Linked DNA regions of Oryza sativa Japonica Group. The protein of the gene in region 3 binds, or shares a complex with, the protein of the main gene of each other region. Links are inferred from orthologs where the notes say so. Each region holds a gene or a part of one and is shown on either strand. Other genes may lie near its edges.

Evidence for each region.
Region 1: pheophytinase, chloroplastic (region 3) and red chlorophyll catabolite reductase 1, chloroplastic share a complex: the UniProt entries of both Arabidopsis thaliana proteins name them as parts of the SGR1-CCE-LHCII complex. The link is inferred for Oryza sativa Japonica Group from reciprocal best matches to the Arabidopsis thaliana genes PPH and ACD2.
Region 2: pheophytinase, chloroplastic (region 3) and chlorophyll(ide) b reductase NOL, chloroplastic share a complex: the UniProt entries of both Arabidopsis thaliana proteins name them as parts of the SGR1-CCE-LHCII complex. The link is inferred for Oryza sativa Japonica Group from reciprocal best matches to the Arabidopsis thaliana genes PPH and NOL.
Region 4: pheophytinase, chloroplastic (region 3) and 7-hydroxymethyl chlorophyll a reductase, chloroplastic-like share a complex: the UniProt entries of both Arabidopsis thaliana proteins name them as parts of the SGR1-CCE-LHCII complex. The link is inferred for Oryza sativa Japonica Group from reciprocal best matches to the Arabidopsis thaliana genes PPH and HCAR.
Region 5: pheophytinase, chloroplastic (region 3) and probable chlorophyll(ide) b reductase NYC1, chloroplastic share a complex: the UniProt entries of both Arabidopsis thaliana proteins name them as parts of the SGR1-CCE-LHCII complex. The link is inferred for Oryza sativa Japonica Group from reciprocal best matches to the Arabidopsis thaliana genes PPH and NYC1.

Annotation. Positions count from the first base shown.
Region 1 is NC_089044.1:13,536,349-13,542,333, forward strand, and holds red chlorophyll catabolite reductase 1, chloroplastic, read right to left. Parts: upstream 3,426-5,985; 5' UTR 3,326-3,425; coding exon 2,954-3,325; intron 2,217-2,953; coding exon 1,599-2,216; 3' UTR 1,454-1,598; downstream 1-1,453. UniProt on the Arabidopsis thaliana protein: Catalyzes the key reaction of chlorophyll catabolism, porphyrin macrocycle cleavage of pheophorbide a (pheide a) to a primary fluorescent catabolite (pFCC).
Region 2 is NC_089037.1:26,384,932-26,389,520, forward strand, and holds the end of chlorophyll(ide) b reductase NOL, chloroplastic, read right to left. Parts: intron 4,518-4,589; coding exon 4,432-4,517; intron 3,992-4,431; coding exon 3,934-3,991; intron 3,508-3,933; coding exon 3,457-3,507; intron 3,257-3,456; coding exon 3,206-3,256; intron 3,122-3,205; coding exon 3,080-3,121; intron 2,562-3,079; coding exon of another isoform or gene 2,499-2,561; intron 2,417-2,498; coding exon 2,306-2,416; intron 2,211-2,305; coding exon 2,163-2,210; 3' UTR 1,801-2,162; downstream 1-1,800. Other genes in the region: myb family transcription factor PHL12-like, read right to left, coding at 40-88, 280-371, 508-593, 707-881. UniProt on the Arabidopsis thaliana protein: Required for chlorophyll b degradation. Chlorophyll b, chlorophyllide b, pheophorbide b and pheophytin b can be used as substrates. Belongs to the chlorophyll catabolic enzymes (CCEs).
Region 3 is NC_089040.1:14,709,905-14,715,907, reverse strand, and holds the start of pheophytinase, chloroplastic, read right to left. Parts: upstream 3,810-6,003; 5' UTR 3,597-3,809; intron 3,252-3,596; 5' UTR 3,224-3,251; coding exon 2,573-3,223; intron 2,145-2,572; coding exon 1,918-2,144; intron 1,371-1,917; coding exon 1,179-1,370; intron 1,098-1,178; coding exon 941-1,097; intron 279-940; coding exon of another isoform or gene 225-278; exon of another isoform or gene 13-224; intron 1-12. UniProt on the Arabidopsis thaliana protein: Alpha/beta hydrolase dephytylating specifically the Mg-free chlorophyll pigment (pheophytin), yielding pheophorbide. No activity on chlorophyll. Belongs to the chlorophyll catabolic enzymes (CCEs).
Region 4 is NC_089038.1:14,943,104-14,949,195, reverse strand, and holds the start of 7-hydroxymethyl chlorophyll a reductase, chloroplastic-like, read right to left. Parts: upstream 3,876-6,092; 5' UTR 3,778-3,875; intron 2,713-3,777; 5' UTR 2,695-2,712; coding exon 2,386-2,694; intron 2,306-2,385; coding exon 2,197-2,305; intron 2,113-2,196; coding exon 2,028-2,112; intron 1,932-2,027; coding exon 1,890-1,931; intron 1,554-1,889; coding exon 1,475-1,553; intron 1,048-1,474; coding exon 996-1,047; intron 916-995; coding exon 853-915; intron 751-852; coding exon 653-750; intron 473-652; coding exon 437-472; intron 300-436; coding exon 238-299; intron 138-237; coding exon 110-137; intron 1-109. UniProt on the Arabidopsis thaliana protein: Probable iron-sulfur flavoprotein that converts 7-hydroxymethyl chlorophyll a to chlorophyll a using ferredoxin as a reducing equivalent. Catalyzes the reduction of a hydroxymethyl group to a methyl group. Belongs to the chlorophyll catabolic enzymes (CCEs).
Region 5 is NC_089035.1:7,036,976-7,042,816, forward strand, and holds the end of probable chlorophyll(ide) b reductase NYC1, chloroplastic, read left to right. Parts: intron 1-108; coding exon 109-304; intron 305-490; coding exon 491-559; intron 560-710; coding exon 711-850; intron 851-1,020; coding exon 1,021-1,143; intron 1,144-1,985; coding exon 1,986-2,178; intron 2,179-3,467; coding exon 3,468-3,653; 3' UTR 3,654-4,206; downstream 4,207-5,841. UniProt on the Arabidopsis thaliana protein: Involved in chlorophyll b degradation. Belongs to the chlorophyll catabolic enzymes (CCEs).

The DNA.
Region 1 (5,985 bases), on a different chromosome or scaffold from region 3:
GAACTTGAACAGTCAAGATAGACTAGAGTTGGATAAACTGCAGAGGGAGCTGGAGGGGGTTACTCTAAATGGAGAGAGAGACATGGTGATTTGGCCTCATGACAAAAAGAAAATTTTCTCCACAAGATCTATGTATAGGGTGCTAAAATTTGGAGGGGTGGTAGATCAAGAAATCCAAGGGGTGTGGAGGTGCAAGATACCTCTAAAAATCATGCATTTCCTCTATATGACAGGGAGAAACAGGATTCCATGTACAGAGCAAGCTTTGTCTAGGGGAAGAAAGCACTACACATGTTTTATTTACTTGTCCCATTGCTAAATTTGCTTGGAGTGTAATTGCTATAGTTCTAAATTTGCATAATGTACCTATCTCTTTCTGGGATTGTATCAAGGTTGTAACCAAGAAAATGGGGTTTCAGGGGGGAATGGTGGTTTTTGCAGGAATGACCTGGGGTTTGTGGATTACCAGAAATAATTGGGTTTTTAACAATAAACTGATCAAATCACCTTTGCAGGTCGTGTACAGGTCTTTGTCTTTGATGCAAAGGTGGAAGGTGCTGCTAAAAGAAAAGGAGTGTACTAGCTTGGATGTCTTTCAAGCAAAGATAATGCTGACGTTGGAAGTGCTGAAGCCGACTGATAATCTTCCTGATGATATAGGATAGTTCATGGGAATGGGCTCTGAAAATATTTGGTCTTTTGTTGTGGGTGTTAAAATGTCTGGAAGGGGGCTAGGTTTAGTGGATGTCCAAGCTTTTGTTGAGCTGGTTTGGAAAACTGGAATCCCCAGTTTTTTGTTTCCTTTTGTTTCGTTTTTCTGTAAGAACTCTGTTTCGTTTGGGCTTTTTCTAAAGCCGGGTAATATATGCCTGTTGTCAAAAAAAAGATGCTGTTTTCTGTTTACATTTTTTCCTTTTGGCTTTGCCGTTCGAACTCTCCATTCTTGATACAATAATTGTGTATTTCAACCGAAAAGAGAAGGCAAAAACAACTCTCCAAAAAACTTGGAGTTTATGTTTTGTGCCATGTGTGCTTCTAGAGCTGCGAGTAGCTGTAGGGAGCCAGGATTAGTATGGCTGGTAGTTAGTGAATTTCTGATTGATAGCATTTCAATTTTGTCATAAACTGGTGCGTTGATCTATGAAATTAGGCAGTTAGATTCATCGCAAATTTTTAATGGGATGAGAATATGTAAACACGGTATGTAAAGTTATCCATTAACTAGTAATACATTTGTAAAATAAAATAATTGACTGTCCTTTCTCTTTAAGAAATTGAGGAAACCACCCGTGAAATCAGTTTACTGGTACTTATAAATTATATTATCTTTTTGGGCACTTTCTTTTAATGAGGGCATCGATGTATCTCTAGAGGAGGCCGAGATTTGGGTTGAAACGGCTAGAGTAAAAAATCGGCATGAAAACCAACACTACATTGGTTTGTATAATTGTATAGACAAAATTATGACATCTGATGGTATTTGCAATTATAAATTTATAATCACACAATATATCTGATTGTTCAAGCAAAAGGGACAAAAGACTACTAACATTACTTTCGAATGATGTACAGATGAATTCCTGGTCACAGTTCTAAAGCTAGGCCTCTTGTACCCCAAAGGCCTTCTGGATTTCAGCTATGACTCGGTCTGCGACATCGGGACCAAACATCCTCGGCAAATTTGAAGTCAGGTCGACCTCGATTGACTTGGACCTTACAATTTGGTCCCTCTTTATCATGTTTTCTCTCTCGCCTTCTTCCATCTCTGAAGTATGATCAGCACAACTATCAAGCCAAATTTGAAGAAGTGCCCTAGCAGCTGTTGCTAGTTGACCACGCACTATCTCTTCCAAGGTACCCTCTCCTCCTTGCCCACAGTCGATGCTCATCAGTATTGCTGTCAGTGAGAAGGTGCTGCGCACGAAGAGGGATCGCGATCGGTATGGACGGGCCTGCGGCAATTCTTCGACCTTCTCACGCTGTTTGTCCACCTGAGTATTCTCATAGTATCTCTCTATGTATTCGGGATGGAGCGCAAGGTCTTTCCGTGGGAGAAGGTCCAGAAGCACCACGATCGAAGTTGGGCTACCTTGTATAAATTCCATGAGGAAATGCGGAGCATCTGTCGAGGCGTTCAGAAAGATGAGAAGAGATGTAATGTCGATTGCGCCATTTGGGACTTTGCAGTGTAGTGAGGACTGGAGCATGAAATCAATCTGTAGACAAGAAAAATTAATAATTTAACTCCATTTGTCATTCCTTGCAGAACTCAAGAAATTCTACCACGCTAAGCTACTGAGCACTAGGGAGCATAATTCAGGTGTTCAAGTGGTGAGATTAGTTTCATAATTTGAATGCTGTTGATCATTTTGGCCACTCCAATTGTGTCCGTTCAGTTGGAGTGATTTTGTTTTTTTGTTTTTGGAGAGGAAACAAAATCTGTGAGTGATAGGAAGAATCACGAATGAGGTACAAACTCTAGAACAGACCAATTGTTTCCATTTCGATATTGGAAGCAAATGAACTAATTTGAGCATTGCCAATATAATGAAAAGTCATAATTTGCTCCGAAGAGTTGGATTATGGATCTTGGCTTCTAAAAGTTTGCAAGTTCACCTTGATAGGGCAAATCACAAATAGTTCGGCAGCAATTTTTCAGTGTAAAACAGTTTCAGTAAATTGTCCAAGTCTTTTGACATGCCATTGATCTATTCTGCTCTGTTTGTGCCAGCCTGTTTTTACCAGTTTACCACTACCATTTCACTACTTAATTAGTTAATTCATATGATTCACTACTTAATTCATATGACTGATTCTGATGGTGCTCTAGACATTACCAGTTTACCACTACCATTTCACTAATTCATATGACTGATTCTGATGTTCTCCAATCGACAGAACAGGTAAATCTGTACGATCTGACGAGCAAAAGTGAGAGGAGGGGTGCCATTACCGTCGATCCCGGCGCGCCGCGGCGCACGTCGAGCGAGCCCACGGCGTTCCCGGCGCCGCCGCCGCTGCGGAACTCGGCGACGTCGGGCGGCACGGCGGAGGGGAGCAGCCGCGCGCCCAGCCGCGCCTCCGCCAGGGACGCGAGCGCCCGCGCCACCTCCCGGTGCGCCACCTCCACCATCACCTCCGGCTCCGTCGCGCCCGGCGCCGCCGCCGACGACGCGCGCACGGCGCTCGACGTTTTGCCCCCGAGCTGGGAACCCGCGCCGCGGCGGCGGCGGCGGAGGGGGAGGAGGCGAGGAGCGAGGGTCGGGAAGGAGACGGCGGAGGACGGCGAGCTGGTCGCCGGCGGCGGCGAGCGGAGTTGGAGCATTGGATCACGGCGAGGTGTTCGACGCGTGGACGAACGGAGCGAGAGATGAATGTGAGCGAGAGGGAGTGAGAAGGATTCCGTGAACGTGTAGAACTATCCCTCTTTTACTTTTGTAACTAGTGCAGTATATACATAGGAGATGATTGAAAGAGAGATCTGAAAGCTGCTGTTACAAATCCATCAGATTCCAAGACATTATCTATTGCAATTTGCAAATGCCTTGTTTTTTTTACGGACACTGCATTACTGAAATGTGAGATAATGCCAATTGAGGTGGTATTTGGGAATCACAAAAATGACTAGTTTAGTCCCTCCTTCGCAAACACCACATGAGTTGGTTTTTTTCTTTTATACTTCCTCCGTTTCAGGTTATAAGACTTTCTAGCATTCCCTATATTCATATAAATGTTAATGAATCTAGACACATATATATCTAGATTTATTAACATATATATGAATGTGGGTAATGTTAGAAAATCTTATAATATAAAACGGAGGAAGTACCATGCTAATGACTGGGCAGCTCACCATGTAGCGCATAAGCTTGGGAACCGAGGTGATACTTATGCCCTATTCTTTTCTCCAATAAAAGTTGGATAAACTTTTGGATACTCGTGACACGTTTTTCAAACTGCTAAACGATACGTTTCGTGGGAAAACTTTTTATATGAAAGTTGTTCTAAAATATCATATTAATCCATTTTTCAAGTTTGTAATAATTAAAACTTAATTAATCATATATTATTACTACATCGTTTTGCGTGAAACACTTAATCTTCATCTTTATATTTATCTTCAGGAGATTAAACACACCACCTAAACCTTAATACACTTGAGGCCATCTGCTACTGCTGATCACTCACTGCTGTTGCTGCTTATCGCTCCATGGGCCAAGGCCCAAAGCTCACAAAAGGCCAGATGCTGCACACTAGCTTTCTTCCTCAGTCCACTAGCTCTTCATTTTCCTTTTTCCCCCCTCTAATTATTGTGGGGGCCATATTACTGAAGGAGAATTCGAAACATCTTGAATCTTCTCAGAGAGCTTGAGAGTGAAATGAGTGGGCCGGCCAAAGAAGACCACTATGGAAGTGAAAGGGGAGGGCAAGAGCGGTTCGAAGGTCAATGAAATGGGTTCAGTTCCCTTGTCAAATAGGGGCCCCGACCCATGTTCAATCACTGAAGTGTGGTTGAGTGAGATGATCCGCAACCAACAAATGATTTGTCATTGTCTCTAAATCACTGAATGAATTCGTTTTTTATTTATATATGAGAACTAGAGAGTTCACAACTCCCTTTTCATTTATTTTGATCACTTTTTAGTTTCTGCGAATACTTATCACTAAACGTTTAAAAGGTTAATAGGATCCACGCCAACTATAAATATGCCATTTCGGATAAATGCCACTACTATTCATGATATTGGTTACGTGCCACTGAAATTTGAGGAGTTAGAACTACACTATCACCGTTGCATTTCCCGTCAGACCCCTAGGCGTTAGACCCACATATCAGTTCCATCTTTCTCCATCCTCCCTCTTCTTTATTCCCTATCTCTTCCTCCATCTTCTACGACTGCTACAAGGGACATCGACGGCGGCGACCGAGCCCTCCCACTGCGGATGGGATAAGGTCGATGACGACAGTGGCTCCCAAGCCCTCCCACCGTGGATGGGGTTGAAGACGACAGCGTTGGCATCTCCTGAGCCCTCCCGCCACGGATGGGAGAAGATTGACAACGGCGGTGGTTCCCAAGCTCTCCTGCCGTGGATGGAGTCAAAGAAGATGGCGGTGGCAGCTCCCGAACTTTCCCGCCGCGGAGGTGGTCGACGACGGTGGCGGTGACGATGAGCGCCGGAGAGAGAGAGAGATAGGGGGTAGGGGAAAGAGAGGAGAGTGAAGGGAGGAGAAAAACCTGGAATTGACAGCTAGGTCCCACGTGCAATTGATGCTAACGAAAAGTTTTGATGGATATAGCGATAGAGTGACACGGTTCCGATTTCCCTAAATCCGAATGACACGTCATAGCCGATATTGTGAATAGTACTAATTTTTATCTAAAATTACATATTCGTAGTGATATGGATCCAAGTAATCATTTATCAAGGTAGCGTTTTGTCTCTAGTGGGGCCTAATAATAAGAAGATATTAGAACATGCCAAACAATTATCTATACTACTCCCAATCTTAAATTTCGGGTGTTTAGGTAAAAAAAATCAGCATCCAACAGTAGCACTATACAAACACTCCCGAAAAATCCTTATGCCTATATGCAGAAATCTAGCTCTCCGCAAGTTTGAAGAGGGTCTAGCTCCCAATCCCATCACCGAGCGAGTTTGCCTGCACCGAGAGGATGGCTCGTCCCATCAGAATAGAAAAAAGGATGCTGATTTAATTTTGTTTGGAAGTTTTGTAGTTGGGCCATTGTTTTTGTTGTTTTGAGAAGTTAAAATAGGCTATCTTGGAGGAGAGCATATTTTTTTTCTTAAATCTGATTAGAGATTCCCAAACAAAAGGTTTAGGGGATTATATTTTGATACTAAGTTGGTGATGCTCTTATGTGGCATATGTATTTAGAAACTTATAAATTATGTATACCACTTAATTTAGGGTTATTTTGGTCATTTTACCTAGAAAAAGGTGATTGTGTTGTTATGTGTGAT
Region 2 (4,589 bases), on a different chromosome or scaffold from region 3:
AAGGCAAAACTTCAATTAAAGATGAAAGAAGATTTGTACCTCGATTTCAGCCATAGCGGCATCGTTGTCCCTAACCATCTCAGATGCCCTGCACATCGCAACATGTTTTTTTGAGATAATGAATAGAAATCCGGTCTCTATATCCACAAGTGGATATACACAGCCAACTGCAACATGTTTCAGAGAAGTTTATGGCATGCAGCACTGTATCTTTTTGAAAGAGAAAAAATGCCATGCAGCATGTGAATTCCACAATCTAGTTTCCTCAAACAACCATACAGATCAAGTGCTTCCTTGCTTGGAGAAGTGGTTCTCAGCAGATCATGATCATGAAGAGACCCAACACCTGAACTGAAACTCTCCCTGTACTTCTGAAAAACAAAAGAAATCAATAGCACGAACAATCAAGATGCATCAAGATCTTGTGCAGCAGAACGAGAATGATAATAGAGAGAAAGAATTATCAAAATATCTGATAAAAAGCTCTGCAACATGGCAGGAGGGTACCTGGAGGTGACTCTTGATGTTGTGGGTCGTAAGGCTTGTGACACCCATAGCTTGCATTGTCTCCTTCACTGCAGTTGGTTTAGCTTCTGAAGATTGCAACAAATGTATAACACGGCATCAGTTTTTTTTAACAATAACATGGCATCAGTTCCATCAACGAGTATTTTGAGATCAAGCAGTGAATAACAAACAGTTTTACCATAGGGACCTCCATGGTAGGCCACAGCCTCCACAAACATCTTATGGAGATCATCAGACCATCGAAGGTAACTCCTTGTTGGCTGCATAGCCCGGATAAGGCGAGAAACCAGAATGCTCGACATGCAATCATCCTCTTGTGCTGGCTGGCTGTTGGACATTATTCTGTAAATCATACTCAGAGCACTTCAGTAAATATAAAAGACATAAAGCCTGTTTGGATTGTGTATTTGTGTAATCAAACAAGACAGATTCATTAAATTGTCAGTATGGAGTAAATGTGAGGATGTGCCCTTATGGTAAGGGAAAACATTTCCAAATAGAAATGTGAGAGATCAAACATGAGTACCGATGTTTTAAAATCCTATTTAGAAATCAAGAATGCATTAGATCAGAATAAGAGAAACCAGAACTTAATACAAATACTAGTACCAATGTATATGATGAAGAAAAAGGAATTGAGACTGTGCCGTCTATTTTTAGGGAGAAGAGTGAGATGGCATTCCAACCTTGAAAGGATATCACCCCTTTTATATAGTTCTTCCTATCACTACACTGCCTATGGAAGGGACATTCTACATTTTGTCTAGCACATCGGTCATCACAGTTGGTGTACATGGAAGGAAAGGTAGGCAGAGAAGTACAAGATTTCAAAATGGTAAGATAACAAAATGAATGATTATCTCATATTAAGCATGGAGTATAACAGGGTGCTCTTTTCGCAGCACATGCGGCCTCTGCCCAATACATGAATGGAAGGGCATCATAGATCATGCAAAATCATGAACGTGATAAAGAAAGAAGCACAGAACTGCAAATATAAATTAGGTACAAAATGAATGTTGAGGTTAACTTATCAGGCAAGCTGGATGTTTATGATGTGAACAAAGTCCTATCCTGCCAACACCTAGCAGCAGCATGGCAGCATGACCTTGTCTTGTCATTGTGATGTCATCTGCACATTTTTCCAATCAAGAAAATATAGAATTACAGAAAATCAATCATCCATACTAGGTGCCTAAATTTTGACACTGCAAAACGTTGTCCATCCTTCAAATTGAAACTGGAAAAGTAGGGAACAACTCCAAAAGATCTGGAACTGGAAGTACTATCGAAAATTAGTTCAATCATACATGTATTTGCACAGATGTATCATGAGGTGCTCTTTACATGGAAGATGAAACATACATAAATGCAACTCTTGTCAAACTTGTATTCTAGGTATGGTTGGAAATTTTGTAGAACAGTAGAGATCACAAGGATGATAAGAAGTGCATCACATGAGCAGCAACTGAATTAGTGTATAATCAAATTGCTGATATTATACATAGGAGTACATCACCTTCTTGAAATGCCATCGGTAATACATGCTATTTTACAAAGAATGTAATTACAAGAGAGAACAAGAAAATGTCCCTAGTTCTCTTCAGGGTTGTAAGATGGCAGCAAAACGGACACTAATCCTCAGCAACATACTTGTTCCTACGAGCACCAAAAGCAATCCTCTGCAAGTGAAATCAGGGACAATGGTTATTCAACACAGTGGAATTGACAGTAGTTGAGGATGTCAAATAATAACAAAATACAGTGGAGATCTTACTGAAAATATTCTGGAGTAGGCTTTCAAGCCTGTGAGAAAACGGATGTAGGTTGGTTTCATGGACTGGTTAGTAGGTATTGCTCTGATGTTTGGAACGAGATAATCCGCAACCTATCATAATTCATAATAAAGTTATAAAAAAATATATTTTGGACCTTACAGCTAACTAGAAGACTCAACGAGTGTACATTACCATCAATAACATGTAAGGCAGGTAAATTGGATCACTCATAGATATATCCCGTGTTACATGAACCTGGATGTCATTGGTGGTATAAAGCACTGCCCATGTCATGTAAAGCTTTTCAACTTTTTAAGTTCAATCGAGCTAACGTATTGAACTATAAACAACTAGTTTTTTTATGTGTCCTATGAAAATATTAGATGGCCACATTTGTTCTGATCAAAACAACTGAAGCTGTGCGAATAATTGTTTTGCACTGAAATTAATAAATACTAAGGGTATGCATGTGTTTCATGACAGATGTAAAGGTATGCATGATCAACGAGGTATTCATTAGCATGTTTGAACATTGATAATGCAAGTAAATACGTCAGGTTTAACTTAACCCATCGATAAAGAATTGTCTCATGATTTTCATGAACATATAACCAGGTCCAGAGATCATGTTCAAGCTATTTGGTTAGATATTTCAAGCTATTTGGCTTGCAGTAGCTAAATCATGTTTGCTACTTCAGTCTTCAGCCATATGGAAACTAGAACAAGAAACAACGATATGCTGGGGAAAAAAGAAATCAAGATGGAGCTCTTACCACATTAGCAGGTTCAGCTAATATATTGATGAAAAATTTGGCCTGCCATCAGTATAAATCCAGAATTTAATAACGATGAACTATCTTGTCAACAATTGTTAAAAGGAGACCATGTGGATCACTCACCTGCTTTGTTGTGGCACCAGACATAAGAAGATCTGTTGTAACCATGCCAGGCTGCACAGATTAATATGTACTCGGTATAATTATTCTTGCATCATTATTAATCGATTATACAAGAAGAATGCAACCAATTAACTTGCAGAGATGCATGATTCAAAGCTTACAGGAACTAATTTGCTAAACTACTCCAGTGTTTAATCATCTAGTTAAGTCTAAAGTAGTAAGACACCAGGAAAAAGGTTGGAGTTATGTACCGACAAATTGTGCACCATAACATTGTTCACTTCATTCATCTGCAACTCGGCCTGCAATTAGAATCAAATTATTTTCTTCCTGCAAATTCTAATAAACAAGAATTCCAGAAGGACAAAAAAAAGAGGAAATGAAAACCTACATTGCGAGTTCTCCAGAAAAATCGTTCCATTTAAGAAGGGAAGGGTCTGAACCTCAAGACTCAAGTCCAAGGATTATATGGATGATTACAGCTTTATGTTTTTTTTTTCAAATTATTAATGAGTATTGAGTAACTATTTGATAATCACAGCTTTATTGTTCTGGATACTGAGAAATGGTGGTAATCAATATTGCATCATAGTTGTGATGTCACAATGCAGTTAACAATTTATATGAAGTTACAATGCCACAAATAGTGGACTATGAATAAATGCTACACTGGATATGTTCTGATCAAAACAAAATGATATGAGGTTATATCCTCACATAACCTTTACCTGCAGAGATTTTGTAAGGTGCACCACACTTCTCTTCGTTGCACCATATGCAGCAAACCTAGTCATTATCAATAATAATCAGTGTCTATTTCTGAAAGGATATTAAGTTATTAAGTAGTATCCTGGTGTAACCACAAAAGCACTAGTTACCAAAATATAATTATATTTAATATCGCTTGATACCCCCAACCCCCCAACGCGCGCGCGCGGGGGCCACCGCAGTGGTGTAATTTTTTCATTTGGTTGAAACTACTGATAACAGTACAGTATATGTCTATATGGAAGCCAAATTCAGCACAGAAACTTATGAGGCACAGTTATGTGGAATCATAGGTACTCTCCTATTAGCAATTAGCAATAAACTAAAAGGACATAATACATGATGTGAAATTTCATAGCTTCATACTGTATGAGAATTCAAACATAATGATATAATGATTGAATTGCACATTGAGTGTCTACATTTTACTACAGAACAGAACAAATGGAAATGCATACCTTGGGGTTGGCCTTCCATCAGAACCAGCACCATCGATGTTAAATATGTGGCCACCTCGAGGTTGGTTTCTCATCATATTTATTGCCTAAGATGGCAAGATGGCAAGAAGATGAATATTTGGAAAATGAATCTTCACAGTTGTTGTAATGAAATTCAG
Region 3 (6,003 bases):
ACAAACCACTGAGTGAAGCCTAGCACCAAAACGACCCTCGCTATGCGTGGCTGATCGCCGCTAGGCCCACGACAACACCACAAAGACGAGACTTCGAAAACGATGCCACCACGGAGGTCACGCCATCAAGGACGGCACCATCGCCCACCTTCTAACAAAGATGTGGTTTTCACCTAGAGAAAACTTGCCGAGGAAGAGAGGTACCCTCGCACCGCCCCAAGGGGTTACGATGCCTGAAGGCGCCCAGTGATCCACCAGGCAAGGCTTTTTCCTGGAACCTACAACCTCAACCATATAATGTCTTGTAACTTCAAAGGAGAAAACTAGGGAACTTAAACACACTCAACCATAAAAAAATTAGTGCCCCAAGGTGTCTTTGTATCAAATGCATGCTACAGAATTAAACAAAAACTGCAGAAAAAATGTTAAGCTTACAAATGGTACAATCCATATTCATTGCCCTAGCAGAAAATCCTATCATGAGGAATTCGCAAACAGTTGTGATTCTTGGGCTTCCCTGGTACCCCACCTAAAGATAGCATCTGACAACCTGTTGTGCTGATCCAGATCTGATTCCACTAATAGCATTTAGCTTCTAAGATACAGCTGCCTATCTTTGTAGAAACTCATAGCTAAGGCTGCAGTCCCATATAATGGCCATTGGTTGTATACCGAAATTTCTAGATTTAAATAGAGATTTCAAATGTTGGTCAAAACAAACTAGATACTGATACAAATTTCCTCCAGTTTTTGTTCCATAGTTTCTTATGTGTAATCAACATGGATGATATTCAGAGAACATGACCTTTCTTAAACACACACAGCCCACCAGCCACAGTATCCACCCAAAACAGAATGCACGGCTACAAAATGAACTATCAACTATCTGGTACAAACTAAATATGACGAGCTTTATTTCCAAACACAATGAATGTTTTACCTCAGGAACCTCATCATGAGGGCAGTGACCAGCAGGACTGATTTCGTAATACGGTGATTCTGGCACCTGCTGTTTCACTTTAATACCCCAAATAGGTCTAACCCAAGGATCTTCTCTCCCATACATAAGAGATATGGGAATACCCTGCCTTTGGCACCTGCAGATTATGAAATGTAAAAATACAAAATCGTATTTTGTAAGCAACATGGCAATTCATCAAATAGTATATCCAGTTTACCTAGATAGAGCTTCTTCGAAGGATATTTGTCCCTTTGGAGCACACATAATGGATGCAAATGATGCAGCAGCTGCTGGATGTTGTGTTGTCTCTATAATACGCGAGAACACCATGTCCACATTCGTTGAGTGGTCAGCATATACTTGCTTGAGTATGCCCTGTATACTTCTTGGATCACTTATTTTCTGCCACCTGCACCAAAAAGATATTAAATGAGATCCACCAAATTTATATCACCACATGGATAACTTGCATAGTTCTAAATGATGCAGGGACCACACAATTGCTATTGAATAACAGCTTGTTTAATCTGTTAAAACACCAATACATTGCACAGCCTACCATCCTAACATGAGAGAGGAATGACAATGTAAAAGGAAAAATAATGGCAGAAAATGACATACAGAAATATACTTTATATCTAGGTGTGATTTTATAAAAAAACACGTTTTTTTTTTGAAAAAACAATTATTAGCTATACTTATAGTACCATATGCAAACTAAACATAGTCTAAATCGTTTCTTCACTGGTGAAGTATGCAATCAATTTCTGTCAAAACAAAAGGTAGCAATCTACAGATGCTATGCCTTGCTACAAGTATCATAAAACTTTTGCATTCCATGCATTCATTATAATGAAAAAAAATAGTACACCAATAATTAGCAGAAGGGATAAATTTAAGATTATTCAATATCAATATGCACATGTGTTTCCCAAAACCTAAAGGGTAGCACATACACTGTTTCAGTAAGTTTCCTCACAAACGATGGAAGTGGAAATGTCCCAGCCCATGGAAAAATCTTCGACAAGCGAGGAGATGTAGCAGGGTTGGGAAGGAATCCCCAAAATGGGGTTGCATTAAGTAATGTGACACCCTTTACAAGGTGTGGACAGGATGCAGCAAGATATAGAGAAACAAAACCTCCCAGAGAGTTCCCCACAATATATACTGGTTCACCAATAACCTGAAAGAAGGTTACAAAATTAGCATAAGAAACATATGATATGAATCTCATGGTAGGACTGTTATGGATAAGTAAACTTAAGAACTTTGGCATTACACATAATAACACAAATGTCAAACCTGCTATATGAGATTGGGAACAGGGCTCCTTTGCTCTCTATTCTAGATACTGGAATAAAAGAATGTGTTACAAGTGTGTGTGCCAAAAAACAGGGCACCTGCTTTGGGCAACATAACGGTTCTTATATTCTATTAACCGAATATGAAACGCTGAAGTTTGTGAGATTCAAGAATCTTCAATAACTAATAAATAGCTATTATTGCAGGCCCTTCAAAGAGTGCAAAGCATACTAGGATTTGTGAACTAAAGATGATATTTTTTTAGCAAAGTAAACATAAAACTACACAGAAAATAGTTGAAAGAAGTACCTCTTCAATAAAATGCTGAACTTGGTCACGCCACAAATCTATCGAATACACCAACTCCTCCGCCCATGGTTGTAATTCTTGTCCAAAACCCCAATATGTGTCCTCATCTAGCTCTCCTGATGTGCTCTTAGGAGCAGGATCTTCACATGGCAACGACATGCCCTGCCCTAGAAAATCCATTGTCCATACTTTGTAATCACGGCCAAGATCCTTCAATTGCTTCTCAAAATGGAACGTTCCCACTCCAAAACCTGGTAGAAAGAGCACAGACGGTGCCTTGCTATTGTCTATGCCAGACTTTTCATAATATACACTCAGCTTCGGCTTCCATTCCCAGAAACCAGTACTAATTAGAGAGCTTTCAGGTCCTTCTGGCAAGCTCGGAATGATCATCTTCTCGATCTCACCGACTTTCTTCGGGATCCCTTGGAGAGCTGCATCGACATCACTTACATAGAACCCATGGCTCGCATGAACTTTCCCAGAATCAGCAGGATTCGAAGCTGTCCCTGACCGCACACAAAGAATTGCACTTCTTGGCCGAGTGAGCTTTGCATGCCCTGGACCAAGACCATTCCCCGGAAACCTCCAAGCACTGCTAGGTGTTCGGTTAAATGCCAAGCAGGAGTGGCTGGAAGAAACCACTTCCATGGCCACACTAGTGGCTAGCACGCTAGTTCTGCAACAGATAAACCGAAAGATACGTTTAAAAGAGCGAACTCGAAAAACTGAAACCAAGAACTATCAGCCTTCAGATTAATTTGATCGGGAGAACCGAAACCAAAATTTTAACTGTATCAAACAGATGGGTTAAGTTCTCGAGAATAAAACTAATCTACACAGCGAAAATGAGCTTCGACCAGCCAGCAAACCAATTCCAAATCCAGCAATTCATGCGAAACCCGGGAACTGTTCCCCGCACGAGTAGTACACACATGCCAGGGAGTCCCCAGGAAGAAAAAAAGACATAGCAAACACCTAATTACAGATTACTCTCTCCTAGTGAGAAATCGGTGAATCATACCTGAAAATCGACACCTATTTCTCAGGTGATTTGGAGAAGAACACTTCGCAAAAACTAAACTAGTAGAACTGCGAGCTCAGAACGGAGAGGGAGCGGGCAGCTGAGCTCGCTTATAGGGCGCGAGATGCGATGGGGAGGGGCGGAGGTGGGAACCACCGCGCAGCGAGACGGTTCCTCCGGCGACCTCGTGGTCTCGCTTGCCCATGCGTGCACGTCATCCTCGGGTGGACGAGAGGAGTGGAGGAGGCGAGCCCAACGCTGCGCGGGGGCCAGCACGTGGACATCGTCCACCGTGAGCCAGCGAGCCAAGGCCAAGATCCGCCTCCACCCGGTCTGCCGGACTAGCGTAAGCACGTGTCGAACTCGGGCTTCGAGACAATGATGGAACTACTATGGAGGAAGGGGCAGGCCCGGTCGGTTCGTTTGTTGTGCGGCCTGGTAGTTAGGAGAGGTTTGCAAGCAAACGCGCGGAAAATGACCGGGATTTTGGCCGTTTTGCGGAGAATTCCAGGTATTGACGGCAGCGCGTTTACTACGCGATGCACATTGGGTAGTATTGGATATTTTGCAGACTCGTCGTACGAATTCAGAGCCATTTTATCGGGGAGAGAAACGCGTGGTAAAATTCGAGTATTTGCTTCCGTGCTCCCGACGGGTAGAAGGAATTGAGCCATGTTATCTAGCGAATATAGCGGAGGAGAATTGCAGCCGTCTAAAAAAATGAAAGCTTCCAGATGGAGGAAAAAAAAGAAGGAAGAAGAGAGAAATTATTAAATCCCATGAATAAGACTATCAGATTTGACGTCGTAAGTGTTGGGTACGCTCAGATATCCACCACCTTAGCACCAACCGATCCAGAGGACAGATGTTGTTGGACCTACTTCTCTGCTTAGATCTGGGTGTCCCGACGCTTGCCATGCCATCCATGTGTAAGAAGAGATGGCGGTGGTAGAGAGCAAGGAGAAGAGGTCGAATCGGGCCATTTGATTAGCTACAACATCATGTGGTTTTAGCTAAAGTTATTAGGAGGCTTAAGCCATGTTTAGAAACATTAGTACACTATTGGGATAATTAATGCTTCATCTATAATTAATTATGGCCATTTAATAATAGCTCACAATGATTAATCATTATTAGTTAATTAATCTTAACAACTAAAACCATATTCATGGTAGGTTGTGAGCATATGGTTTTGATGGTCGTGCTCATGACAATTAAGGACTGGTTCACGAGCTACTATTGTGAAGCACTAATTGTACTAACCACAAGCCAACATGGGTAATAGCTAGGTTTGTAGTATAATACATTCAACAGGAGACACCAAGGTATGTTGTTGTTCTTTTATCGTGGCAGACAATAAGTCCACAAGTGGTAGGCAATTAAGTGCTGGGTTTGTGGTATGCTTTCTCATTCATTCATTGTCTCAAGTGTACAATAGTGAGACTCCTCCCTCTATTTATAGGCATAACCATAAGTTCCTTTCCATATTAGTGAGTGGGGCAATTACTAATTGGGCTAGGCCTTCATGGGCCGGAGGTTTCCTTGTCAAAACTCTAGAAAAACCCAGTTGAAAAAAATTTGGAGAAAGAGTACATAACATACGCTTGCGATGCTGCACGAATTGCCTCAAAGACCAGGCCTGTAAGGATTGGGATTACTATTTCTACGGGCAACTATATGATTGACAAGGAGAGTAGTCCCAACACTTGCATTCAAAATGGCATTTTGATCAGTGCGTGGGAGATCACATATCGGCTAGGGAATGTTGGCTGCGAATGGCGGTTGGTCGGTTACCACTTGGGCTACGCGCTCCTCATGATCCCATCAAAGAGAGGAACATAAGAGAGGTTACAAGGTTAATGTCGAGAAGCAATTCAAGTTTTTTCAAGTTAGAAGACTTCGAATTGTATATCTCGACACGATAGCCGCTTTACATCTTGAGCCCCCATGTACTCATAGGAGGGGTGGAGATGAACTTGCGGGGGCAGAATCCGACGACGTACATAATCTTGGACAATTTTGTACCCGGTCAGACCACGTACTCAGAGGTCATTGATCTTCTCGATGAAGCTTTCTAAGGCTAGCGTCAAGAAGGGTTTTGAGGTCTACGATTTGGAATGCGTGGGTTTATCTTTAGGAACAGTCAGGCAGGGACATAGTTATCATAATTGGACCGGACCGGCAATTGGACCGGAAAAAACCGGAACCAGAGCCTCAGGTCTGGTCCAGTTAAAAGACTGGCTATGCAATTGGCCCGATATAAACCGGTTGGACCGCCCTGTTTTGTATAAAAAACGGGAAGAAAACCGGAGATGAACCGCCCGATTGCACAGGCATGGCGGTCACGTGCGTCCGGGGGACACTTGGTACAAACCCAAGACCATATGCATACAAGTGAACCAACGAA
Region 4 (6,092 bases), on a different chromosome or scaffold from region 3:
TGAGCAGAAGGAATAATACAGCCAGATACCAGATGGTTCCTTTCCAAAATATGAATATCTGCTATAGCAAGAGTACAAATATTCAACTTTAAAACGATGGAAACCTTACAGCCAAGCCATTTGTGTAGTCAAAGCAGCTGCAGGATGGTAGTAGTAAGAACATAAGCTCGTTGTGAATGATGACTGGAAATTCTGGAGAAAATCTGGCAACACAATTATATGACGGGCAAATATTACCTGTAGCATGATGGGGCAATAACATCAACAAGGTCCTTTGCTGGCAGGCAAAAATAGGGAACCTGATTTAAGGTAGTAAATGATTATTTTAGAAGAATCAGTGATGTAAATGATTATTTTAGAAGAATCAGTGATGTAAATGATTATTTTAAAAGAATCAGTGATGCACAAGAAAAGAAAAAAGAAAAATAAGCTTTGCCTCTTCAATATGTCCATCCAAGTGCTTTAAGTGAACCTGCAAATACGCTGAGTTATACAACAGTCATGAATCAAAATTTTGGAAGCAACAACATGGTTATATTGTTGATTCAATAAGTTTTTCTCTATGTCCTAAAACTGCCTGTTGAACTGTTGACTTCTAAACAGTATGTCAAAAATAAGAGAAAATAGAGTACTAATTATTCCAAAGTTTTACCTTGTAGTCCTGCATAAATTCATAATGCAGTACAGTCTCTGGTTCACTGCTTGCAGCCTTCAAAAACTTGTCAAGTCCTTCACGGGTACCATTGTCCACTGTGAATATTTACTGTAAGCCAACGTTCAAATATATCCTCCGTGCAACACAGTAATTACAAATTTCAAGATCAACTAATTCAGTTATCAGTTAGTAGTTACCACAGTTTGTCCCGAGCACATAAAGCTTTTCCAAACCAAGATACTTCTCAACTGATCTCAAAGCTGTTGCCACATTGGATAATTATGAGATACAACACATTGTCACCACTAGAAATAGAAGAATGTTTGGGCAAGGTAAACACCTTGCACTTGACAACCCACACCACAGAAGAGAAGACGCTTCACACCAGCTGCCTGTCAAAGGATAGCATGAAACTGAGGTTTTGACAGAGTTAGTCAGGAAGATAGAGTATGGACCAACTATCATGTCATATTGTCATCATATCATTATGGTCTTGATTGTAGAATCTAATAGCCTAAATTGGACTTTGTTTTGCCTTTAGAGTCACTACTGGAATGACATTAAGTAAAATTTGATCTTGTAGGTTGAATAGAACAACATTAGTTCTGATTCCTTTGAAACCAAACTAAATTCGAATTGCCTAGAAAGGGGATGAGGTAAAAATGCTCTGGAAAAAATGACTCCAAGTTCATGTCCAAGGCAAAAGATATCTGCCGTAATCACCCATATGCCTGTATAGGTTTTGAAGGGCAGGGGACAAGACACAGGAGCTAGTGACCCAAAAAAAGGATGCATAGTGTGCACAAGAGATAGATTTACCTCAACCAACGCAAGCGTATTGAGATTAGGTGATAATGTTGGCTTCACACCTTTGGCTGCAATAACTTCATCTGGCGTCCTACGAGATAATAGTTGATCAATCAAATTTTGCTTCAATTCTAGCAAGCATGAGCAGCACAAGTAGTTAATCAGTAGACTGGAAGCAAGGTTTTTACTTTTGAGTGATTCTATGGTCCTTGAGGAGATACCGAGAGGTACCTCATCTTCTATCACAGATATTGGGAAGTGCCAAAATTTATACTACAAAATGTGGTATCTCATGTTACCTCCTCATGGACCATAAAACCATATAAGTGTAAAATGCAAATGTACTTTAAGTAAGAAGTTGTAAGCACAAGCCATATGAAAAAAAAAAAAATCTGAAGTAGCAAGCAACCATTGTCTTAGTACCTACCTGGCTAAAACAGGCATTGGAGCAAGCCTGTCATCTGGGTCACTGCAGAGGAGACAAACAACAGTTTTCTCAAGACCATGAAAAAAATCCTTTTGCAACGGAAAGCAATTATGTAATATTTGATTGTTGTTTAGGTGCCTTTGTACACAAACCACAGCATCAACCATATTTGCCTTTAGCATCTCAACCGCAATCGTTGTCACTATTCCTGTCCATTGGGCTCCTGCACAAATTACTTGGCCATTAATTAGCATATATGTAACCACAATCTTGTGGCCTAGAAAAAAATGGTGGATAAGGAGCAAACCTTCAACAGGTTTCATCTTCCTGGCATATAGGAGTTGCTCATACACTCCGAAGTACATCTCATCCATGTCTTGCTTCCTGCCCCTCCCATGGACCAATGGCTCCAAATCCTACTTAAATGTGATTTGGTAAGCTAGCTAGCTTGAAAGAAATAACGCATGCATGAAGGAAGGAAAGACTAGCATGATACCTCGACACGGGACATGCCATCTCCTAGGAATGCGCAGGCATTCTTGACATGCGCAATGTAGTAGGTGTCACAAAGCCCACATTGGCTGCAGTGGTCCTTGGCTGGGTAGACGCCACCAGGAGGGATGGCCTTGGATCTCTCCCTCCAATCCTCCCGCAGCGCCCTAATTGACCCGCAACTCGTTTTCCTACCTCGGCATTGATGAGAGGACGGAGACGAGGGTAAGACAGAGGACACTGAGCAGCAGGGCGGTTTTGTGGCACATGGCAAGGACGAGGAGGTAGACAGGAAGGAGATGCACCGCGCCATGGATATTGAATAGTCAGCCTGCATGTGAAATTCACGTGGAAATATGATAATCTACCGAATGAATTAATCTACAGAATGAATTAACAACCTGCATAAAAGTACTAAACATTTTTCAAGTGTGACTTTCTAAAATTACAATGATGCACGCTACCATATAATTATTTCTAATCCTGTAGGGCAAAGGATTTTTTTTTTTGGATGAAAATAGGAGAAAGGAACTTCTACCAATGCAAGTGAATATCTGTCTCATTCCTCTTCCTCAGGCTCAGATTCTCCCCACCCACACCATCTTTCCCACCCTCAGTCCTCTCCTCTACCGCTGCACCCACTCCACCGACATACCACCCTCGCATCTTAACAGCACCATAGTCATCTAAAACCACCACTGTCTGTATATATATGATGCTATGAAGTAACCTACTTTCTTCTTCTTGTTGCTATATAGAAGGGATGAAAAAAAGAAAAACGCTCATTTAACTGGCTAGGTAGCTATTCAATCTTCCCAAGTGCTGTATGGAAGATCTTGTGTTAACTCCCTATTTATTCTCTAGTATAAGTCGCGTAGATGCTGCCCGAAACTCACCTAAGCCATCAAACAAGTTTGCATCTAACCTGAATCGATGGCTGGCATTCATCTACAAATCTACGATGTCCCATACGGGGTACTTGTCGCCCTATTTCAAGTGACATGCAACAGATGCACAGTGCATTGCCTAAACCAAGAAAATCTATTTTGGTGGATAATATATATGGGAAATCTCATCCTTACAAGCACCATCATACGTTCTTATATAGTTATACGGTCCATAAACCATATCATCAACCAGTGGTTCAACATATCAGCTCCAGGTACCCTAGGTACCAGCCGTGCTAACGCTAGAGCCAGGGGCGGATCCAACTTGGGAATTTTGGGGGAACAAACAAACAAACTGTTACTACTTGTATTAAGAGAGGCTAAGGCTCTGAAATTAACGAGGAGAAGAGAGCTTCTTCCAGATCTAGAAGAGAAGCTAGGGTTAACGAACGAACGCAAGCAAATTCCAGTCCCGGTGGGAGAGAGAGATGAATCAGAAAGAGGCTCACCAGGATCCCCTCCCCTCCCCTGCTCTGCTCTGCTCGTCACCTCCCCTCCCCTGTTCAGCCGCGACTCGTCTTGGCGCAACGAGCGGAGGAGACGAGACGGGAGATTCTTTCTTTTACGCTACCTTTATCTCAACATTTTTCCTTATGATGACGAGTGGGCCACGTATTAGCAATACTATGAAAAAAAAATAAATTACTCAACTCGATTAGGGATTATGTCGAGAACAAACTCTTCGTACCACCAGCAATTACTAAGGCCCCGTTTGGCACAGCTCTACCTCCCAACTTCAACTTATCTGGAGCTGGAGCTGTGCCAAACGGTCCAAATCCTCCGTTTTTCAGAGCAGAGTTAACAGAGCTACTCCACAAATTTGTACTAGGGGTGGAGCTGAGTTTTTGCTACTCTACAGCTCCACTTCACCCCAAAAGACCCACTACCCTTTAATTTTTAGCCTATTTTCACAAAAATGCCACCCAACTACCCCTCCACACCTCCTCTCCCCCATTCTCTCTCATCCTCCCATCCCCCTCCCGATCTGCATCGGCGGGTGGCGGCGACTGCGTCGGCAGCGTTGGCAGGAGCCAGCGGCAGCGGGCGAGCGTCGACGGCGAGTGGCGGGCGACGACAGCGTGGGCGGCAGCGGTGACGACGAGTGGCGGGTGACGACAGCGTCTGCGGCACGGGCGACAGCGGCAGCGGGCGACAGTAGCAAAGACAACGTCAGCGGGGCGACGGCGAGCGACGGCTACATCGGCGGCGGCGGGCGACGGCAGCATCGGCGGCGGCCGGGACAACGACGGGCGGTGCGCCCGGGACGGCGCATGGGCGGTGCGTGGCCAGCGGTCGGCGGCGCGCCTGGGGATGGCCAGCGACTGGGTTTTCTTTTTTTATTATTATTTTTTTTATTTTTTTCAGATTTATAGCTGAAAGCTAGCCAAACACTTTTCAACAAGTCTCTAACTCCAATCAGAGCTAGCTCTCACTGGAGTTGGAGTTTAGAGTAAAAATAGGAGTTGGAGTTTGGAGCCCTACCAAACGGGGCCTAATTATCATTCCACGCATCGCCACCAACCGCTCTTTCTCCATAAGCCACTATCGTTCCTCCTCTTCGTCTTTGCATGCACAGTCGCACCCTCCAGTTACCGACATGTATTTTCTCCTCCCCCATCGTCATGCACACTATTATCACAGTTGCCATTGAGGTCAGGGTGTCGAGCTTACTAACTCAGGAGGCACGAGCCGACCCAACGAAGAGCGGAGACGCTAGATCCGTGCTCCTTCTTGCTGGAGCTAGTGGTTCCCTAACTATCGGAGGGAAAAAGAAAATAGAGAGAAAGAGAGTTAGTGTACATAGTGGTTGCTGAGTCACCAAACTTAGAGATGGATAGAATAGTCTGGCCCAATTTGAAATGTAAAGTTAGCCACTATGTAAGCGAAAAGAATGGTTAAAGTATGACATAAGATGAAAACTTTTAAGAATAAATTGTAATTTACTTTTTTTTTCTCTAGCACAGTTAAAGAAGAGTTGTCCATTACTGGATAGTCTCATGATAGCTAAGTATGGTTGGGCCGATGTAGTTAGCTATTACTAATAATCTCATGATATGTTGATACATGATGATACGGATAAATAGATTCAGGTAAAAAAAGATAAAAATAATACATCAATTTTGCTCAATAATAAAGCATTCGATTGTGGACTCATTTTCTCACTACATCATATACGATGACTATCAGTAGGTATTTTCGTAATTCTTTCGTATTGTTTTTTTTATTTTTTACATATATGTCAGTTTGGACTAATATTTTTCTCATAATTAAATAGATAATAAATCATTTATCTATATTTCTCCTATAAAATGTGAAAAGTGCATTGTATAATTCGAAAATTATATTATGTGTATGCAGTTTAATGTGTAAGATATGTACTTATAAGTATAAGATTTAGCTTTTTCTTAAAACGATACACCATAGTAGATAGGTAGTTAAGTGAACAACCATAAAAAATAGAGAATCCATTGTGTCACTGATTTTGGTCCCTGTTCTACAATATGTTACTGGGTTTGTCAAGTTCTAGTGCGCCATCGCATTTTGCTTAACTTCTATAATATACCATCGTCGTCTAGTTAGCCTCCATTATTACTGTACAATTTTATTATAATGACCAAAAAACTTCCAAATTTTGGTAAAAAGAATCAAAATATAATATTGTAAAACTTTTGAAGTTTGAAATGGGCAACTTCTCTGCCTAGTTTACAATATGATATTTCGGAATTTTCGGCCAAATTTTGGAAATTTTCGTCCCAGGGATATT
Region 5 (5,841 bases), on a different chromosome or scaffold from region 3:
CTCATAGACATGTAGCTCAATGTGTGTTGTTGTTGCATATCCATGATATTCTTTTTATGAAATGCAATGCGTTGTCCTAGTTTTAAATATCCTATTTTTTGAAGGCAGCCCTGAATCAGTCCTTCAGACCATCAACGAGCTTGAAGAGAACATACAGGAGGGCTTGTCAGTTGCGAAAAAGAAACAGAGAGAAATTTTGCTACATGCCAAGGTTGTTGGTACATCATGTGATGTTTGTAAACCAGAAGATGTGAAAAAGTTGGTGAACTTTGCCAAGGATGAGCTTGGATCAATTGATATTTGGGTAAATAATTTACTTTTACATATCTATCCCCATCATTTATTCTGCATTATTTCACGGTAGGGTACTCAGTTGGATACTTGGATTGAGTGCACAAGTTTTTGTACTTATAACCTTTTTATTTTGTTCTGTACTGTGGCATCGCAGAATGTACTTAACATGTGCTATTCTTCTTATTCTTATGTATAGATAAATAACGCTGGCACAAACAAAGGTTTTAGGCCACTGGTAAACTTTTCAGATGAAGATATTTCTCAGGTACGTTAATTATCTTCGGAAAATCAGAGTCTTTTCCATTCTAATAGAGTTCATAGAACTATATTCGTCATGCAACCTGACTTAGTTATTTCATCTTATTTTTCTTTCTGCTTAGCCTAAACAACATTATTGTGTCCTTTTCTGTTTGCAGATTGTCTCAACAAACCTAGTTGGCTCTTTACTGTGCACCAGAGAAGCCATGAATGTCATGCAACACCAACAAAAGGGAGGTCACGTATTTAACATGGATGGAGCAGGTTCTGGAGGATCAAGTACACCATTAACAGCTGTGTAAGTACCTAATGATTTCAAATTTTTAATGCTCCACTGTTCGTGTAGCTCTTATACTGGACAGGGATATTGTCTTGTGGTTTCTTCATTGGCTAAAAACGAGTATAATTGTATTGATGTTGTTACTTGTGCAGTGAAACTAAAACTGATACTATTTTGCAAACTTGCAGTTATGGTTCAACTAAGTGTGGCCTTAGACAGTTTCAAGCATCACTTCTGAAGGAAAGCAGAAGATCAAAAGTTGGTGTACACACTGCTTCTCCTGGAATGGTCCTTACGGACCTCCTTTTGAGGTAACCTCTGAAGTTATTTAGATGCAATTATTGATGATTTGCTTGTTTAGTTCATTCTGAACTTCAATATATTTATTGCTTGGTGCACATGTTGTCCAAACTCCAAACCACACTTTGTGTGATGATAGTAAAACAAGATAAGACTTCAAGTGCATAAGAAGTTTTCAGTAGGATCTTTATGGAACCACACATATTGGTTAATCAGAATTTCACGCTATCTTCATTTTGAATTTATTTTAGTTAATCAACAATCAGAATGTCTCCTTTGTTGAATGGGGAAGAGTCAAAATTTTGAGATACCTCGCTGCCCAAATCTTCTTTGTTTCAATCTCTTCTTTCTAGGATTTGATTTGTGGCAACTATTTCTGTAGAATCAGCTTCACATTAATTATTAAGTTGCTTTTGCTACTACACTTCTAGCTCTGGCTTTTCCTATCTGCTATAATCCCGATGACACGGTAAACTGGGTGCGTGGCGGTTAATCAGAACCTGAAAGAATTAATGTTCCATTCTTGTGCAAATACTCTGCCTTGTAAATCCAGTTCAAAGTTGTGATGTTGCACATACTTTATACTTGTAAGGCTTCATAGTTTCTGTCAATATATAAATAACTTGTGAGATAACTTCCAGATATAATTATTACAAATGACTAATGCACTGGAAAGTTCTAACATATTAATATTTTTTATTGGTAATACTATATACGGAGAATAATATGTTTTTTAACTTCAATTGATGGTGCATGCCACTTCTTCCATATTTATCTGGTCAGCTCTTCTGTTGCCACATGCCCAACTATGCAGACTGCTTTAGTTAACTTATAATCCTTCTATCTTTTGCAGCGGTTCTTCTCTGAGAAATAAACAGATGTTCAATTTAATATGTGAGCTTCCAGAAACAGTTGCAAGGACATTGGTTCCGAGGATGCGAGTTGTGAAAGGAAGTGGAAAGGCGATAAACTACTTGACACCACCAAGGATCTTGCTTGCCTTGGTTACTGCATGGGTTCGCCGAGGCCGATGGTTTGATGAAGAGGTATGTTTCTTCTCTATGCAGCTAGTACTTTTCAGCTTTACCTTTTATTTCAGCAATGCCAGTATATGAAATATGCTGAATTCCTGCAGAAGCCATGCGTGCAAACATGATTGTTGTTTTCATTATTATGCATCTTGCATGCACTTTTCATGATATTGAACCTCAAGACTTTTGAGCTATTATGCTTCTGAAATAGTGAAATATACATTTCTAGAGAAAGAGTACCAAGCTCTTCTACCGTTGCACCAAATGTATATGAAACTCATTGTTGAATATAAAGAACAATGGACATAGACTATTCAAATTATGCCTGTGGTGATTTTCTTGTAAATTATGCTAAATAAGCAGTATTCGTTCTAAGACTGGATCAACCAGGCGAGTCAGATCATAATGAAGCTTGAGACCAGTGTCCAGTTCTGTCAGGTCTCTACATAAGTAAGAGCCATAAATAGGGTCTGTCTTGATGGTTCAGTTTCCAGGTTCATTATGACCAGCTCAGTCCATCACCTTTACTGCTAGTTGGCCAGAGCTCTTCTGGAAGGCCTTAGGCTGGTCCTCCCCTCAATGGCGGCTTCAAACACCTGGTTCCACCATGGCTTAGCTCGGTCCAACAGTCTCAGTGCTATTGTTTGTACTGCATGTTAAATATGACATAGTTAATTCTCACATGTATTGCTGGATCTCACCTAGTCCACATGAAATCCAGCAACAGATTTAACTGGAGAGAATGATAGGGGTTTTAAAAAGCAACTGCACCCGTCAAATGATTGCACTCTAGTAATATTTTGGGGCTGAAATGGGCACAAGTATACATATTGACGTTTTTTTTGGTATCTCACTGGTTTATTGGCTGTGATTTTGGGAAAGAAAATCACCTGCAAATTTTGGTACCGTCGAAGCTTCTCACCATTAGATTGACAATTATTAATGGAAAAACTGAATGAACACATGTATTATTTTCGCAAGATATTTAGGAAACATGACATTTGAGAAAAAAAAATGCTGAGAAGTGGGTAATAATTTAATTATAACGTTTGTGTTCCTTCAGAATCTTTCACAATATAACTGAAGAAAAGTGCTGTATACATCAGTGTCTTTTGTGATGGACAATGCTCCAATCATCCTATGTGCAAGGTTGAAAATCAAACAGATGAAGTAAAAGAATATTATATTCTTACAAATGAGAGATCAGCATACCAAGCGACTTTATGCATACTTCACAGTTCATAATACTTTCAGTCTGATGATTAATTCATGTGAATGTGTGACTGATCATAAGCACATTGCAGGGAAGAGCAGTATATGCAGCAGAGGCTGATAGAATCCGTAATTGGGCTGAAAGTCGAGCACGCTTCTCTTTCACAGATGCCATGGAGATGTACACAGAAAACACATGGGTTTCTGTGTTCTCGCTCTCTGTCGTCTGCGCATTCATAATTCTTTCCAGCTCAGGTGGACCTCTTCCAGGCACATGATCCCAGGAGTTGCCAAACTAGATGGCTACACACACCATTTTTCTTCAGTACGGGGATTCTATTATGTACTGATATATGACACACGAAACTTATGAAGGGGGGAAATTGAACCCAGAAAGCTTACTGCGTACATACGCCCAACGGTGAGAAGCATCAGCTGCCACTCACCATTTAAGGTCAAGCTAACCATGTGCTCAGTAAAAATGGGTAAATAGCATTTGTTGTGTGGGCATTCCACTGTTTGTAAGCTGACTTGTAAAAACGTGTATCTGAGCTAAACTGAGCACGAACAGATTCGATGGACAATGTTATCTGCTGTACATGCATGTAGTAATGTAGTTTTGATGACTGTAATTCTCTGGTCGTCGCTTCCAGTTGCACGGTTGCACCGTATGTTGCAACCACCAATAGAACTGAAAGTAAGTGAGAGTAATCAAGCCAGCATCTGCTATGTATATATATGACTCATCAGTCTGTTATATATCACAAGGAAAGCTTCTTCAAAGCTAAAAGCAAAGCTATCAGTAAGACAGTAATCCTGTGTTTTTGTCCATTTGAATTCTTGATCACAACAGGGGAGATTCAGAAGTTGCATTAAGGTATACTACTACTATCATTTATGCAGTTTGTTGCACCTGCAGCCTTGCAGAGTGATGATTCTTCTTGATGGGGAAGCAGGACGTTCACTTCACCTCGTACAAACAATGTACGGATTTCTGTGTGCGAGCCATTGTGAGCAAGGGGCTTTCTTTTCTTCCAAAAGTAAAATACAGGCTAGTGCTTTTTTCATGAAAAATATCTGATGGTGAGTGGAGAGTGCACACGCTGATGAGCAGCCGAGCCGGAGCATGCGTTGGCAACTTTTCTGAACTACAAGCTGGAGACGACGTGAGGCTTCTTTCCGAGAGTTGATAGCAGCGTGCACTTCCGAAGTTGGGTGTCGATTTCTCCCTTTTTTTCTGCTGAGCAATGGCACCTTCCATTAGTTGGAGGGTGGAAGCTTCCTTCTTGAGTCCGAGGCCCCAATGTCACCAATCCTGTCTCTTCTGCATTGTTCGTTGGGAGTATAAGACAATTTAGGGGCGGAGCTAAAACGAAATAGAGAGATGTACCATTCACTTGCTTTACTCTACTTTAAATCAAGTTTAAGCTAATATGAGTATTTGAGTTTGGATTAAGGAGGTACATATATAGTAAAAATAGAAAAACTATAGCTAAAAAAATTTTCTTGGCCAGGTTTCTGGGCACCCCTCTCTCCTACCTAGCTCTGCCCCTAAGTGCATTGCCCGTTCTTCTCTACTAGTCAAGTTTTAGGTTGAACTTTTTTTTTAGGGGATAGTTTTAGGTTGAACTGATCTATCCATATATGCCCTTTAATTTTCCATCAGCTTAAGCACTGGGGTTAAAATAAAATATGCATGCAAACTTTGCCTTACTAACACGCATTTACTTGCAATTGCTTAGCTGATTGAAATCTCACTAAATCTGCTGCTACTTTGATTGGATTAACCAACTACAGACAAGTTGACTGCCCTGGCCGGGCAGTGAACATGGCTGGTACAGTAGTACTCCTCTTGGACCTCTGATTGCAGCTTGCTACCAGCAGCAGCCACGGCGGCGTTTGTTTTGCATGTCAATGTTTAGAGGGTGTTTGGTTGCGAGCCACACTGCTGTTTACTACATCTAAGATTAGATAGATTTAATCCCATTAGCAGCTGTTTGTTGTAGCCATAGCTATGACAAGATTCTTTTCTAATAAACTGAGTCTCACGTGTCATTGACTTAGAAAAATGTAACAAGATTCTCTTAGACTTACTAAGGTGTGGCCAATAATTTAATCGCCTCAACTTAGACCGTGTGACAATATTTATTGATAAATGACAACAAAGTATGGTTAGGAACCAAACACACCCTTAATTCACCTAGCAAAGCCACTTCTTGGCCTTTTTCTTTCTAGTCTTCAATATTGCCATCATCATGTACATACATGCCACTGCCAGACCAGTACAGATTATTCCAATGTGGCGTGGTGTTCATCCTGAACAGTGGCTGATGTGCCTTGAGGTCAATGATTTTTTTGGTTTCTTGACGCGACTAGACGGTGTGAGTGCTCTCCAAGATTGAACTCAACCGTCCGATCCACTTGTGCTGGGAGAGGGCTCCTTTTTTGTGGATGGCTTTGCATGCA